Drosophila melanogaster: one gene and its partner. The protein of the gene in region 1 binds, or shares a complex with, the protein of each later gene. Each region holds a gene or a part of one and is shown on either strand. Other genes may lie near its edges.

What was found.
Region 2: msl-2 (region 1) and msl-1 share a complex: the UniProt entries of both Drosophila melanogaster proteins name them as parts of the male-specific lethal (MSL) histone acetyltransferase complex.

What each region holds. Positions count from the first base shown.
Region 1 is NT_033779.5:3,460,666-3,468,550, reverse strand, and holds msl-2 (male-specific lethal 2), read left to right. Parts: upstream 1-2,438; 5' UTR 2,439-2,499; exon of another isoform or gene 2,500-2,632; 5' UTR 2,633-2,911; coding exon 2,912-4,844; intron 4,845-4,896; coding exon 4,897-5,285; 3' UTR 5,286-6,333; downstream 6,334-7,885. Other genes in the region: Pif1 DNA helicase, read left to right, coding at 1-700; ND-PDSW (NADH dehydrogenase (ubiquinone) PDSW subunit), read right to left, coding at 1,297-1,418, 1,489-1,764, 2,135-2,216; CG3246 (uncharacterized protein), read left to right, coding at 6,700-6,781, 6,845-7,113, 7,171-7,885. UniProt on the Drosophila melanogaster protein: Limiting component of the male-specific lethal (MSL) histone acetyltransferase complex, a multiprotein complex essential for elevating transcription of the single X chromosome in the male (X chromosome dosage compensation).
Region 2 is NT_033779.5:18,682,742-18,691,700, forward strand, and holds msl-1 (male-specific lethal 1), read right to left. Parts: upstream 6,060-8,959; 5' UTR 5,685-6,059; coding exon 4,446-5,684; intron 4,386-4,445; coding exon 2,505-4,385; 3' UTR 979-2,504; downstream 1-978. Other genes in the region: CG31751 (uncharacterized protein), read left to right, coding at 1-524; CG10336 (uncharacterized protein), read left to right, coding at 7,053-7,976; CG10383 (uncharacterized protein), read right to left, coding at 8,376-8,959. UniProt on the Drosophila melanogaster protein: Component of the male-specific lethal (MSL) histone acetyltransferase complex, a multiprotein complex essential for elevating transcription of the single X chromosome in the male (X chromosome dosage compensation).

The DNA of each region.
Region 1 (7,885 bases):
CTGCTCCCACACAAACGATGCGAACTCCATTAACGAGTCCAAGCTGGAAAACCTCGATGGCGACAAGATTTTATTCAAGGCTGACGACTCCGATGCCAGCATGACCAGGACACTGGATCAACAGATCCAGGCTCCATCTCAGTTGTACCTAAAAGTTAACGCCCAAGTAATGCTACTCAAGAATATAAACATATCCAATGGACTGGTGAACGGAGCTCGAGGCGTCGTTGTAAGAATGGAGAAGGATCTGCCAGTGGTAAGGTTCAAAAACAACCAGGAATACGTTTGCAAGCACGAAAGGTGGATAATAAAGACCGCCTCAGGAAACCATATAACACGACGCCAAGTGCCACTGAAGTTAGCCTGGGCATTTTCCATACACAAGAGTCAGGGACTAACCCTCGACTGCGTGGAGATGTCCCTTTCCAAAGTATTTGAGGCTGGACAGGCCTATGTGGCCTTATCCCGTGCGAAATCCCTGCAGTCCATTCGCATCCTGGACTTTGACGCCAAGCAAGTGTGGGCCAATCCACACGTGCTGCAGTTCTACAAGGGATTCAGACGCAAGCTAATGGACACAACCATGATACCATTGGGTCCCAAAAACAAGGACAAGAAGCCAGGAGACAAGGCCGCAAATAGCGCTCTGGCTAAGCTCAAAAAGAGTCTCATCAACAAGCCGCTGGTCTCGATTAGCTGAGCTCGAAAGTAATCTAAGATAGCGTAATTCTAGAAAGCTTGAACAAATTTCACTATTGCCTATCTATTGGTATCTATTTCTAAAAGTGTAATTTTTTCTTTTTTTAAGAAAAGCAAATGATTTATGGACTGTGCATTCCTTTTTTTAAAAAATGAGAAATTATGGAACTCTTTTTGAAATTGTCTAAATTTTCGAAAAAGTCTGAAGAATTACAGTGTGAGTTTTATGATTTATCACTATATTCTGTAAACTTATTGCAGTACGCAGGCAAAAACTTTATTTTACTCACTGGAACAACTTAACCAAGGCTCTTAATCTTGAGAACTATTAGTTTTAAGCTAGTCTATAGCCAAAATTCTATATCAAACGCCAATATTAATATTTATTTTAAGAAAAACATGACTAAGAATAAATGCAACTAATAGACAAATGAATTGAAACTGCTGTAGTAATAAATAATTCCTAGTAGCTCTTACCTTATAATTTACACTGAAACAATTGAAAGAAAGCTCAATCCTTGGGAATATCGTTTTACGGCGTGTATATTTTGTTTTAACGGATAATGAAACTAGAAAACATCATCATAAAAGCGGAGTTTAATGGGCGGCCTCCTCCTTCATGCCACTGCCCACTGGTCCATGACGACGCTCCCAGATCAGACGATGCTTCTGCTTCATGTACGCGGTCTTGGCATTGGCGTAGCCTCCCAAGTCGCCATCTATAATGGGTTATATCTCGTTATATATCACATACAACTTTAAAGAAGATGGGTAAGGGATTCCACTCACACTTGATGAACCAGTTCTCGGTGGCCTTCTCGTACTGATCCATCAGCGGCCTGCACTTGACCATGTGATCGGGTGCCTCGTAGAGGGTGCAGTCCTCGAAGCGCTGGCGCAGAATGTTGACAATCTCGTTGTCGACCATGCGATCCCGGCGGAACTGCTGATCGGCCTCGAAACGGCAGACGGCATCGTCCGTGTAGCACTGGTCGATCGTCGGAACGCGGCGGAAGCGCTGGTGGTACCAATTCTGCTTCTGCTGGTTCGGCTCCACAATGCTCTCTGTGGGATTAACACAAGGCGCATTAATAAAATATACTAGCTGTAATGCATTTCTGTTGAAAAACATGATCCCGCTTTGACTAGATGAACTATATAGTAACGGACGGCATTTAAGGGCTGCCGACTAGTATTCTAAGAGATTTAGTTTGCGCTAGCTAGAAATTACTTAAAACGGTTGATTATAAACATTTTAGCATTTCAGCAATACAGTGTAAACAAAAACAAATGGACTGCGAGTTGAGGTTATGTCATTATGTAATTGTCTGGAATTTGTCCGGTTTTTCCGATCGTTGGCCAAAGGAAACGCAAACTTGCAGCATCTGGAGACTCCCATGACCATGGCCATTGGGAATCCCTGTGGACTACATACCACGGAACCAAGTTATGGGTCCATCGATGACATTCAGCACCGACTCGGCAAAACTGGCCATCGGACTGCGCGGTTCCGGCATTTTCTGGCTCTCCTACCACCTGGCGTAAGCGGAAGAGCTGTTAGTAAATAATTTCCAAGGTTTTCCGCTTTCCTTTGACGGAAAATACTTAAAAAACCATATTTACTTGAAAAACTAAGTGTTAAAATTTGTTGTAGGACCGCAGTTCGTAACTGCGAAAATTCCTCAGAGCACTGAAATCAGCTGTTCGAGGTAGTGGTCACACCTATGCCGCACTGCAGCTAGCATGTTCGCACTGGCACACTGCGGTCACACTGGCTTCGCTCAGCAAAATATTGCTTGGGTAATTTTTTTTTTTAGTTGCTAATTTATTGTTTTCAACGCTGTTGCACAGTGTGCAGCATAACCATTAACAATGACTTGAGACCTCTCAAACGTAAACCAATTTTTTTTTTTTTTTTGCACGTGAAACATAGTGATAACGAAGCCACAAAAGTGAAACCAACAAAAAGCGTTCCAGTAAAGTTACCATTAGATAATGAAATCGAGGATTAACGCGGTCTAAGCATGTGTAACTGAGCTCCTACGGGCGAGGAATTGCAGGTAACTAGCCCAGGAGGCACCAGGTAGCGGAGCAGGTGGCGTGGGTCGGACCGACAAGGCACTTACTTGGCCAGCGGAGTCTCACTTTTGGGCTGAAAAACGTAAACAAACAGCGGCGTGCGTACAGTCCCGGGCATAAAAATATAGCCATCATGGCCCAGACGGCATACTTGAAGGTGACACGCATCGCGATGCGCTCCGCTTCGAATCTTTCCAAACGGCGGGTGGAGGAGCTGAACTCCGGGCTCGGCGAGCTACGGCAGCTGCTGTCTTGCGTGGTCTGCTGCCAGCTGCTGGTGGATCCCTACTCGCCCAAGGGCAAGCGGTGCCAGCACAACGTGTGCCGGCTGTGTCTGCGCGGTAAGAAGCATCTGTTTCCCAGCTGCACCCAGTGCGAGGGTTGCTCCGACTTCAAGACCTACGAGGAGAACCGTATGATGGCCGCCCAGCTACTGTGCTACAAGACGCTGTGCGTCCACCTGCTCCACTCGGCATTATTTGGTGAGCTGGCCGGGATGCGGCCCCAGGTGGCCAGGGAGCTGGTGCCTCGCATCAAGCTGCCTCCCAAAACCACACAGGAGTTCATTCGCGAGGGCTCAAACATCTCCGACACTTTTGACATCTTTCTGCCCCAGCCGGATTTGCCGTTCCTCAAGGACATGCCCACATCGCTGCCCGCAGAGACGCCGCCTACGTCGGCGGTCACGACTCCGGAACTGCCCTATGATCACCACCTCAACATCAGCGACATTGAGGCGGAGGCGGCGGCCACAGCGGAGCAGGGTCACTTCTCGCCGCTTCCCCTGCTGCCCACAGGATCTCGCATGGGCATGCTCTCTCACGCCGGGCAAATAGTCATTGCCACCGAGAGCTCGGAGTCGGGCTTCATGGACCAAGCGTGGACGGATCAGGTAGACCTGTCTGGCACGGTTTCGGTGTCCAAATACACAAATAGCGGCAACAACTTTGCTGTCTCCTACGTGATGCCCACTTCTGCGACCACGAAGTTCGATCCACAGGAACTGCAAATCGGCCAGGTGGTGCAAATGGCGGACTCCACTCAGTTGGCTGTGCTGGCTGCCGTTGAGGAGACCGTCGAGACGTCCACACAGTTGACTGTGCTCTCCACCACCGTTGAAGAGACCGTTGAAACATCCACGCAGCTAGAAGTGCTTACCTCCGCTGAGGAACCCAACGAAATCTCTGATCAATTGGCTAATCTGCAAGTTGAGGAATCTGATGAGGCTCTGGTTGAAGAGACCGTTGAAGAGGCCGAAGGGACCTCAATCCCGTCAGAGGTTGTAGCTGAGCACATGGAGGAGGATCAACACTTGGATGTGCACACTTCACAGTCACCTACACAAACCGAAATGGAGGAAGCAGTGGAGGAGCATGTTGCCACAAAAACACAATTGGGTCATGTGCAAACAGAATTGCAGGATGCGGAGTCGTTGCAGAAAGATTTTGAGGACGCAAAGGCAGCGGCTGAAGAGGCGAAGGAGAAGGAGAAGGACCTGCACGCAATCAGTGCTGAGCTGCAGAAGGAGGACAGTGACGAGCCAACACTTAAGCGAAAGAGAACCCGTACTCTCAAAGCGTCACAAGCTGCCAAAATTGAGCCTGTACCGTCTGAGGTCAAGACTAAAGTGCAATCTGGAAAGGGCGCTCTTCGCAGGATTCGGGGCAAGGACAAGGAGGAAAAGGTGAAGCCTCCGAAGCCGAAGTGCCGCTGCGGTATCTCCGGCTCGAGCAATACCCTCACCACCTGCCGGAATTCCCGATGTCCTTGCTACAAGAGTTACAACAGCTGTGCCGGGTGTCATTGCGTGTGCTGCAAGAATCCGCACAAGGAGGACTACGTTGAAAGTGATGAGGACGATGATTTGGAGGATTTCGAAATGCCGAAGGACGTTCCAGAGCCGATGACTCAGTCGGAGGAGCCGGTGGTAGCTGAGCCTAGGCAGGAGGAGAACAGTATGGCGCCGCCAGACTCTTCTGCCCCCATAAGCCTAGTGCCGCTAAATAATTTGCAGCAATCCCAGCATCCTTTGGTGCTTGTTCAGAATGAGAAAGGCGAGTACCAGGGTAAGTTACCTCATCGCTGTGTTAGACCTATCTAACCCTGTTCCAATTGCAGGCTTCAATATCTTCCAGGGCAGCAAGCCCCTTGATCCGGTCACCGTTGGCTTCACTATTCGTGTCCAGCTGCAGCACACCGATGGCTTCGGTTCCCTTCCCCAGTATGCTTATATAATGCCAACAATTGACCCGCCGAATCCACCAGCTCCATCACTTTCGCCACCACCGCCTCCTGCTCCTGACAGGGAAGTCATCGAGCCACCGGCCAAGAAATTCAGGACCAGTCGAACACGCCGAGGAAGGGCCAACTTCTCGGCCCTCGACACGGTGGATGAGCTTGTCAGTGGCGGATCCAGGAGCAATTCTGCCGCTGGCGACAGATCATCGGCCACTGACAATGCCCATTCACTGTTCGAGGAGATCATGTCGGGCTCGGATGACTTGTAAGCAAGACGACTCATCCCTATATGTTTGTTTTTTTATGTGCTCAGTGATGTCCAGGTATCAATCCTTTAATAGATAATTTTTATGTACGTTATGGATGGTCGAATTCAGCACTGAATTGCATCCATAACGTGGTATCGTCTTTGATCCTCTTATCATACCCGTTATTCGTAGAGTAAAAGGGTATACTAGATGTGTTTCCGACCATGTAAAGTATATATATTCTTGATCAGGATCAATAGTCGAGTCGATCTGGCCCTGTCCGTATGAATGTCTCGATCTCAGGAACTATAAAAGCTAGAAGGTTGAGATTAAGCATATAAATTCTAGAGACATAGATGCAGCGCTTGGTTGTTTACCCATGTTGCCACGCCCACTTACCGCCCAAAACTTCCACGCCCACAATTTTAAATTTTTTCTCATTTTATTTCCCAATATCTCTTGGATATCCCAGAAAAATGATGAAATTTCGCGTTCGTATTTCCACTAGCTGAGTAACGGGTATCTGATAGTCGGGAAATTCGACTTTAGCATTCTCTCTTGTTTTTAACTTGTGGTTTCGTTATGCTATATATTCCCCCACTCAAACAACTTCCACTCAAATCAACTCCCAAATATCTTTTAGGAGCATTCTACAATCTGATTTTTGTAATCATCCAGCAAACGTTTCCAAAACTCAATTTTTTTTTAATACGTATTAAGCCAAAAGTCGTATACATAACTATTTAAAGCAATTCTGCAGCTGCAGCAAAGATAATCTATTTAAGAGTAAAGCATTAGTCAAAACTAAAGATTATTTTCGTTCAACGAACAGCGAATTATAGATTGCTTTGCCCAAAATGTGGATGCTGTGAGCTAAAAAAAACCTTTTTTTTTAATAGGCTAAGACATTTTTTTGAATAGGCTAAGACTTTTTTTGAGCATGAATTTTTTTGAGCACGTGAACCTAGGATTAAGAACAACAATTCAAGTAAGCCATATATACCCATATTATATATGCGAACATATAACTATTAAAATATTCAAATAAAAATGAGCATTGCTACTACAGAAAAATGCGCGATTTTCTTTGGGTTTCAAAACCGTTTTCGAACCGTAACACTCTTTGCCTCATGCAAGCTGCTAGTTCATGATTTCTAGAACATCGTTCCTGGGAGTGGAGTGAGTTCCATGAGTGCCTACAATGTGCTGGCCGCTTCCGCTCACTTAAGTCACTCAATCTCAATTCCGAGTTTAATCAGCAGCTCCGCGAGCAGAGTCGCCCTTAGATAAGCGGATCGCCGCCTGCGGCTCATCATTATCTTTTGATTAACGCGCCAGTCGACAGTGCGTGTTTGTTCCGAGTAGAGAACGGAGGCTGGCGCGTTTTCTTCCATTTTCCAACTGATAAGCAGAAGCTCCAGCTAATCCCCGAAAGATGAAGCCGTTGATAGTGGTCGTGCTCGTGGGCCTGATGGCAAGTGGCTGCCACATTGTTCACTCCCAGGAGCCTGGCGATGGTAAGACGAATTCCAGTCTGAGCTCTACCGGAACTAAGCCACTCATTAATGACCTTTGAGCAGCTGTGGAGCAGGAAGCCAGCGAGTCGGATGACGCACTTAAGATCAAAGAGAGTCAGGCCAGCATAGCCGCCCAGGTGGAGGCCATGCTCGTGCACTTTCAGCAGGAGGATCCGCAGGGTCTGCCCGGCGTGCCCGTGCCCGATCCGTTGGAGGTGCCCAATGTGAAGAAGAGCATGGGCATGGCCAATCTGGACATGAAGCAGGTCAAGGCGTATGGCTTGTCCAAGTTCCGCATTGATAAAATGAACCTAGACCTGAAGGAAATGAGAGTAAGTTTTCAAGTTGAATTCGAATTGGCTTGAAGTTTCCACTCCTCTGTCCTGCAGTTCAACGGTGGCCTCCAGCTGGACCAGATGCTGGTCAAGGGCCAGTACACCCTCAGTTCATTCTTTTCGAAAGCCAATGGACCCTTTACAGTAGTCCTGAAGAATGTCTATGCCGAGGCAACCGCCTTCTTGGCCGTCGAACGAGACGGTCAGCTGGCCACGGACCGCATCAAGATCGACATCACATTCTCGGACATGACAATGGACTTCCAGAACCTCGGCCTGGTGGGCAGTGTCTTTCAGAGCGTGGTGAACGGTGCGCCCAACTTGGTCTTCGACGCCATGAAGCCATTTATGCTCCAGGAGGCGGACAAAAAGCTGCGCAGCGAGATCAACGTAATGATCCAGAAAACCTTGGGCGAACGCCGACTGCCCAATTCCATAACGCCGCTGGACAGCGCCATTGCCATGGCACGCAAGATGGTTCGGCAGAAGGGCTTCGATCCGTACCACCTGCCTGATGTCAATCGCACCATGGGCGTGTTCAGTGTCCAGTTAGCACACACCTGGATCAATGGAATCTCTAGCTTCTACCGCGTGGGCAACATAACCGCTGGCATGGCCAACAAAACGGTGTCGGTCGTTCTGCAAATAGGCACCCAGCAGGTGACGGGAGCCGGCCAGTGGGAGGTGGGTGTGGGCATGATGACACGCGTCGGTCACGTACAATTTACGGTTCAGCACATACGCGCCACCGTTGGCCTGAGCCAATCCC
Region 2 (8,959 bases), about 15 Mb from region 1:
AGCAGCGGCTTATCTGCGACGAGGTGATCGATGCCTTTGAAGCCAAGGTTCTGAGCCAACTGCCATCCATGGAGCACCAGATCATCCATGGGGACTTCAACGAACAAAATATAGTGGTGGAGCAGGTGCCCAATCAAACTGAATATACCATCAAGGGAGTTATTGATTTCGGTGATACGAGCAAATCGCCACTGATCTTCGAAATTGGAATTGCCCTCACTTATATGATACTGCAGGCCAACGATTTGGCCAATGGTGGCATATTTCTGTCCGGTTATACCAGTCTGAACCCAATTGAGAATTCCGAGCTGGCCCTTCTCAAGTACTGTGTTACTGCCCGATTTGTTCAGAGCCTGGTAATGGGACTCTACACCCACACGCTGCATCCCACAAATGAGTACCTCCTGGTGACCCAGGAAAAGGGATGGAAGCTCCTTCAGAAGCTGTGGCGCGAGAGCTTTGACGATATTGATGAGCTGTGGGCAAGCACTGGACACCAGTACTTGACGCAGAGCAATAAATAATATAAAATTCCGTTAGGCTTTTCCGTTTTTTAAAGGTATTTTAACTGATTTTCAATCCAGCTATTCTGGTTGTTGAAGATTTTGTATGTTATGTTTTCCATTAGGTAACGAGGGTCAGATAAAATTGTCACAGCCAATATATAGAGTATAATGAAGCATTTTCTAAGATATTAAATACATTTGCAATTAGCCCCTAAACAAGTTTATATCGAGATGATCGCAAACAAAAAGACATCTAAGGAAACCAGAAGCAAGCGATGCCAGGTCATTGGAAAATCAATTGAGGCCTGTTAAATAAACCCATTGTCAATTATTAGAATTTCATTTACATATCACCTGTGCAAAATAAGTTGCAAGTCCAAGTATTGATTGCATTTCGTTGCTTTACAATTTACTTTATCCTGTATATTATTATCGTTATCTTTACAATAAAACTTGTTAAACAAATACAAATACATTGTATGTAGTACATTTATTCTTACAGTAGGTGAGTTTGTTTAGGGCTCTACAATGGTGGCAATTAATTTCGAATTGATTTTTAGTTGAAGCTTCAGTAAATTGAACTATTTAACGCTAATTACATTGAATGGTGTAAAATGGTGTTGAACGAAGTTCATCCACCCTCCGCTCCTCCTTTTCCTGGACAATGTACATCGTATCGTATTTACTTTGTTACATTATAATTATCTCTATGCGTTTGGGTACAGTGCCTACTTAACGCTATATTACAAGTAACCGACTTTACACCTATCGAAATGTACAAAAATAAGACGCCACTCGAAAGCGAGCTGGTGATTTGATTTCTCCGGACGTTGGCAGGCTCCATATCATTGCGACAGAAAGTCAAACAGAAGAAGTGTTAAACGAAACAATATTTAGCCAAAAATACATGGTGCCCATAAGGCCAAACGGGTGTGCAGTTCGGGAATCAGTTTTATATTTATTCTTCAAATCTAGTTTTCATCTTAACGGCCTTTCTTGTTCGATACAACATAAAACAAGTTTAATGAAGTTAATAAAATAAAACAATAGATCCAATGTATAATTTGATTACTCGAAGCAGACAACCACTCGCACTCAATTTTTACACAATCAAATCCTAAAAAAAAAGACAAATTATCAGAGATATACCTGAGTAACTCTTTGCAACACACACGTTGTCTGCATTCGAGAATCGACAGATATAACAGTATAAACAAAGACAAAAAAAATGGTTATAAGGGCTAAAGAAAAAAAATATTTAAAAATATAAGTCTACGAATTTCATTGTTTTTCTCCAAAAAAATGCCCAATATAACTTATGTGAATATCTTTCGTGTTCTTATCACTTTAGTGCGGGCGATTTTAAAGGTGATAAAGCTGAGATGAGTTAACCAATCTAACTAAGCGACTGGTTTGAATTACATGCTGTGTGGGACTAAGTAATTTACGTACATTGGAAACAAGCAAGGGTGAAACTCTTTTCAATTGCAAGACGTTAACTAAAAACTAATCATTTCCAGACCAGGCGACGAACATTTGGATTCATTTACATCTAATATAAGATCGAATTATTTATATTTCAAGGAAATAAATATGATAACAATTTAATAGAAAAATGTTTGAATAGGACAGCTCAATTTACTTGCCTTTTAAGATCTCTCATCGCATAAGAAACGACAAAACTTTGACATAAATTTATAGATTCTATAACAAAGAATTTCTAATGTTCCAGAATTCAGCGTTCCGTTCATTTTATTACACAAATAAAAACGGACAGTTGAGGAACCATATATACAATAAACATCGTCTGCTCTGGATTATTTGACTTCTAGACGATCTGTGGTAATCGTTACTGTTAACTCTGGTGCTTTCACGTTAAGCTTAAGAAATAATTCATGATTTAAAACTGAAAATCATTAGTATGTCAAACGCAACGACTTCCCCCAACCGACAGTCTTCTGCTTAGCTCCAGTATCAGATCCCCCAGGCGTTTCCTGGCTAACGATTCTTCTGGCGCTTGCGTCGCTTGGGAAACACGTAGGAGGAGTGATTTTCTTGATGCCTCGCCTCGGCAGCAGTGGTGGGTATTTTTTTGCTAGCCAACGTTGCCACCGGCTCAGCCAGTGCCTTGGACCTGGCTATGGAGGTTGGCGCTTCGATTGCATCCACCCAAGGCACACCGAAATCATCCCGCGCCTCCATGTTGACCACGTTTTCGCCGAATGCCTGAACTGTCACCTCGTTGACGAATTGGATGGCCTCTATGTCCTCGGGCAGCGGGTAGAAAGTGGAGGCGCGCAGAGGATCCAGCGCAACCAACACCTCGTCTTGGTTCCGTCGCATCCGAAGCTGTTCAAGCCGTATCTGCTCCTTCATATAACGTGCATCCCTACACTTTCGATCGACCTCATCCTTCACATATTTCTGGTGCCGGCGCTCGAAGGTCGCATCGCTCAGTAATTCTGTGTCAATTTTATCCGAACTGGGTGGCACTGGGACATCCCGCCACTTGGGTATCTCCAGACTAGGGTTATCCGCCAGCAGCTCGTCGGCCTCCTCCAGGAAGAACTCGTTGTCACAGTGGAACTCCTGATCCTCCCACGTTCTCGTGCTGTACGGAAACGTGGCAGTGCGGAATCTGGACTGCAGTTTTCCCGATCTCGCCGTTGCCTTGCTGTACGTGTGGGGTGAACAGTTGTTTAGCGTTTTTCGGATAGTCGAAGTGGTGCTGCTAACACTGCTATTAGATTGAGGTGTCAGAGGAGTTGCTATTTGTTCAGCTGCCTTGGATTTCGATTTTGCTGCAGATATTTCCTGGTCCATTGAGGATGTAACCGCATGCTGTGGCGTTGAGCCAGGCGTTGGTGTCGTTGACGGCGTAGGCGCTGGGGTTATTGTTGTTGAGGATACTGGTGCACTGGGTGGTGGATATATTAGATTTGTGGCGACTCTCTCTCTTATTTTCTTGAGCGTAACCTGTGACGAATGACTCTGGCTTAGGAGCTCCTTTTTTAAATGTTCCGCCAGTTTTCTTCTAACTGTTTCCACATCTATTTCTTGATCTGGGCTCTGAGACGTTTCCGACGTGGTCTTTTTATCATTGACCAACATACTTTTACTTTTAATGGTTTTCGTCTCGGGCGTCGAAACTGGATCAACGTTCTTTTGTTTCCGAATATCAGACGGGGCGGAGGAGCCGGTTCTCATGTCAGGATGCATTTCATACTGCCTGATCTTAACCTGCAAACGCTGCGTTTTTACAGGATCCGTTTGCGTCTTGGTGGACTGATGGTTGGCTATTACTTTTTGAGCGGGAGCGTCTTTTATGTCAGCGGTGTTTGCCTTGGGCAACGTGCTTTCTCGAGAGGATGTTTTCGTAACCTTTGGGGCTACCGCTTTCGGAAGGTGCTTAGGTGCATCCTCTGGTTGCCTTTTCAGAGTTTCCTTCTGTACCTTACGAACATCCTCTTGTGGTTCCACGCGAACATCCAGCTGCCCATCCTGCCTCTGTTCGTCTTTGGGCTGGTCCTTCGGTTTTAAGTCCGGCTTGGGAACTTCCAACTGATTCTTTATTGCATTATGATCAACGATGGCATCTTCCTGATGCGGCTGCTGCTTGGGTACTTCTGGGGACTCGGGGACTGATTCATGTTCCTTATCCTTTTTCTTAAAAGCCACCCACTTCGGGAGAATCGGCGCTTCTAATGCATCTACCATTGGCTCAGGCTTTAGTTGCAACAACTTTTCAGTTATCCGATTCTGATTTCCTTCTTTCCTTATCTCTGCCTGTGTCGAAGACTTCTGCTGGTGATTGGGAGTTGAATGGGCCGAAGGCGCACAGGTCTTCTCCTCCGTCGGGTCCAATTCCAAAAGGTAATTCTGAAAGAGTAAAGGATTGCTCGATATATTCTTTTAATTAAATAATAACATTAAACATACCTGATTCTGCCAGAGCTCTTCCTCAGTTCTGGCGTTTACATCCGCATCGCTATGCATCCACGGATAATCATCCTCTTCACTGTCATCGTCTTTATCACTATTCTCGTCATCTTCGTCGTCCTCGTCATCATCCTCCTCGATATGGCCGTTGGCATCCACGGACTGTCCATGCTCCTCCATATCAACCAGCTCTTCGGTGACCACTTCCATTTCAATTGATTCCAAAGCATCATGAAAGATATCGCCTCCAACGACTTCCTCGGTGTGCACTTCTTGCATATGCAGATGATCTTCCTCAGCGACCAGTTGGTCCTCTTCCTGAGATATTTGCTCCTTATGTGCCTCCATCTCGTGCTCCTCTGCTACTTCCGTTTGCTCGTGGATGTGGTGCTCGAAGTCCTGATTCATGCGCTGGAGAATAAACGTGCTCACCTTTTTACCGTTGAATTCACCGCGGCCTTTGCTCTCCGAGCGTTTGCTGGCTGGCTGATTCGTTACCGCTCCAGCGTGATGGTCCAGAGCGGGAGACTCCTTCATGTTGATACCCCTGGGAAGTGCATTCGCGAATTGAGGCTGCGCATCTATCGTTTGTGTGCCCTGTTCCCGCTCCCGAAACACAGTTTGCGTCTCAGCATGACAACGTATCAACTTCTGCTGCGGGGCAGCAGGTGGCAGTGGGGGATCATCGTCGTCGTCGTCATTGTCGTTCCTTCGCTGGTTCTTTCGCCGCAGCTGTTTGCATAGTTCCTGGTTGGCGGCCTCCAACTGAGCAACGGCCTGCTTTAATTCCTCATTCTGCGCCTTCACCACGCTCATCTTAGCGCTTTGGTCGTCCAGCTCCTTGTCCTTGGCCGCTATGCTGTCCGTCTGCTCCTGCATCAGGTTTAAGTTCAACATAACCATGCGCCTCAGGTTGTTGTTCTCCGAGATGAGCTTGACCATATCGGCGCCGGCACACACGGTTCCGCCGGAGGAAGGAGGAGCCATGGCTCCGCCACCATGCTCAGCTGGCAGCGAATGCAAAAGCTTTCGGTAGTTGTTATTACCCCCGCCATGTCCTCCACGACCATTGCCATATTGCTGGCGCTCATAGATCTTCCCGGGATGCTGATGAAGATGCTGCGTCTGATTGGGATGGCCGTGCAGATTCCTTTGGCGGCCACGCGACGGTATGTGGGGATAGGGCGATTCCAAGTAGTTGGCCCGCTTTTTGGGCGGCCACTTGAATCGCTTGTCCATGGCAGTCGAATTGAATCCCGTGCCGTCGGTCCTACGATCTCATAATTCTCCAAATGTTTTTGTTTTGTTTTGGTTTTGTTTGCGTCGCTTGGGGTGCACACAATCTCTTCAGCTGATACGCCGTACAATGCGTAGAATCCCGATTACAATTTCGCACCACACTAAATTTTCCTTGCTCGCCCTCGCAAAAGAACCGCTCTTTTCTTGGCCAGAATCTAATGGATTTATCGTTTTAAACGTGGCGTTCTTATCGCACGTGGTGACCGCATTTAGGCAGCAGTTTTTCGGTTCGTTTTTGAACGTTCTTTCACCGCTTTTTCCACAATTGTCCTCACAATGTAAAGTCGCCCCGAAAATGCTCTTAAAAGTATGGCGTTTTGCTGGCGTTGCCACTTTTCGCCAAAGCGCAGAGTTGATTGGGGGCATAGAGATGGCAATTTGCTGCGATGCACGAGCTGAGCACGACAGTCACGAAGTGAAAATATTTTCACGAAACTGTACTTTGTTGCACATAATAGCTAATAGCTAAGTTAACACGAGCCGACGAACTAGTACAGTTGGCTTAGTGTATGAAACATAATATCAAAGTGCTGAGACAGCATTGGGCCGGAGTCTTTGTTAGCTTTAAGAATCATTTTAAGTTTCAGCTTAAATTTGCAGTTACCAGAATAAAGAGCGGCAGCTCGTCAACTCCGACTAAATGTCGTTAAACACATTTTTATTTCTTACTCTGCCAGACCACAAGGATAGCAGTTAAAAGAGGACAGTTTCTCTCAACGTAAATAATAATCTTCCGTTGCTCCCCGGATAATTATTTTCAATTTTTATGTGGTATGAGTAATTGGAATGAGAAAATAGATGAAAAAGAAACTAGCTAGCTAATAATGTATTGATTTTATTTTATTTTTTTTGGTAATTTTATTACATTACCAACTCCTTTTAAATATTTCACTAAATTTAAATAACTACAATCTTTGGATGAATTATCCTTCCTTGTATAATGGTATAAATATAATAGAATAACAAAAACTCGTGACGCCAATGTGTCGCTTAGTGATAAAAAAAACGTGTCACGCTGCCATCTCTTATGTCTGCTGCCACCAATGCAAAAGCCGGGTTGGCTGTACAAATTACCTTTAGTGCCACCCACTAATGAAAATATGTCTAAGCAAATCAAAATAGCCTTTGGGAAAGACCAAATAGTTATGTAATCGGAAAATTAAAAGAACAAAGAGCTGTTCAGTTGGCAGCCCCCTGTGACTTATGCAAGCGTCGCCTGTGAATGGTAGATAGAGAAGAAGAACAAAAATTGGCGCCAAAATTTTGTTAGATTGTTTATTTGGTATTTAAGTTTCGGCCACTAGTTCTATGGCATCCCTGTTCGGAGATGATGGTGTGGATGACCTATTCAATGACAACATTCCGACTGACCCGGATCAGCTGCCCAGCGATGGCGAAGGCGAAAAGCTGTTTGCGGACGACGAGGACAACGGCGTAGAACCTGGTAGCCAGGATGCCCAGATAGTGGAGCCTAAGAAGCGAGCTGTGAGAAATCCCCGACCGCGACTCACTGTGGAAACACTTCGAGGTCCTCGTGGCATCCAGACCATCGAAGATTATTTTAAGGACATCAAATTCAAGGGCAAGGGTTACGAGAAAACCGATCTCGACGAGGTGCTTCGCCGCCTGCAGCACTGGGGCCATCGTATGTATCCCACCTACACCTTTGACGATGTGCTTAACAATATCGAACGGCTGGGCAAGAAGAAACCCCTCCAAGTGCACATGGCGCGATATCGACTCGGTCAGCTGGAGCAGATGCGCGCCCACGAAGCGGAGGCCCTGGAGGAGGCGCAGGATGAGCAACAGGAAGGTGCCGGCGATGAACCCTTTGATGAGTTCGACGCCCTGCTAGGTGAACAGATTGCCATGTCCAGGCTGGCGCCTCCCAGCCCGCAGCAGTGGAAAATGTCTACTGCTTCCAGTAACAGCACGCTGGCTACTCCGTCATTCTCCCGCGGCAATGCTGTAATGTCCACGCCGTACTCCGGTGTAAATGCGACCTTCGACAGAAGTGGAGCTTCTGTGGCTCCGGCCTTCGATCGGAATGGAGCTCCGTTGGCATCGATGGACATCAGCGACTATGGTCAGCCGCTGCCTCCCTCACAGCCTCCCACGCCGGCGGCTAAGAAATTATCCAACGAACAGATGGCCAGGATTGCGGAAAACCGCAGGCTGGCGCAGGAGCGACTTAAGGCCAAGCAGCAGCAGGAGAGCGGAAGTAAAAGTTAGTGTATATTTATGATATAAAAACGCATATTTTTATAATTTTCAAAGGATAATTTATAAAAATAAATGAATAAGCTACGTTGAAAGTTAATGCGCGGTACTTAATATCTAAATTGATTTTTCTGTACTTCGATCTTTGATGAATATCACTTTAAATATACCCTTAATCGTATTAAAACCACTCGCATTAGTGTTACACATGTATCTTTATTCAAACGTTTTAGTCGGAGACCGAGAATAATAAGTTAGGATTCGGGTGTAAAAAACTATATGGAGTGCTGGAGTATTTACAAAGATGAATGGTCATGATGGTGAGGGTTCGTGTAGAAAATACTTTACAAGTCTTTAAAGACTAGTCGGGATACTATTAGGGTACTGGTGTTTAGTGGGACTTGGCCCATCCTAAGTGCTAAATCTGAGGGCGACTCTGGGCAGCGATTCGAACAGACCCTTGGCTCCCTCCAACAGAGCAGCTACGATCTTGACAAGCACTACATCTTGATTCGAAGTGCTTTGTGACTGGCCATCCTGATCTTTGGGATCTGATCGTTCCTTAATGGCCTCGCGGATCACGTGCAATAATCTCTGATACAGAAACGATTGCCTGTAAATGGGCTTGGAGAGACTCAAGTGATCATCCTTCAGCAGATAGAAGTCCCCGAAATCTATCTTAGAGGACTCTTCGGTGACAATGCGCAGGGGGAACTTGAACGAGGTCAACATGGTAGGGGATCCTTCAGCTACACTGACCACCTTTACATGGCGCAGTAGCGTGTGCAAGCACCCCATAAAGCGGCGGTGCATCTCCAGCAGCTTCGGCGAGTTCTCTTCCATCTCTTTGACCTCGATTGATGGAGACAGGATCATCTGCATGTGCTGCTTCCACTTGGCAATTGGTGAGCCCCGGTGTGGGGTTCCCAAAAATACAATGCCTTTAGTGTTCTTGGTCAGCTGTTGGACCTTCGGCTCTTGGGAGTCCAGGGATT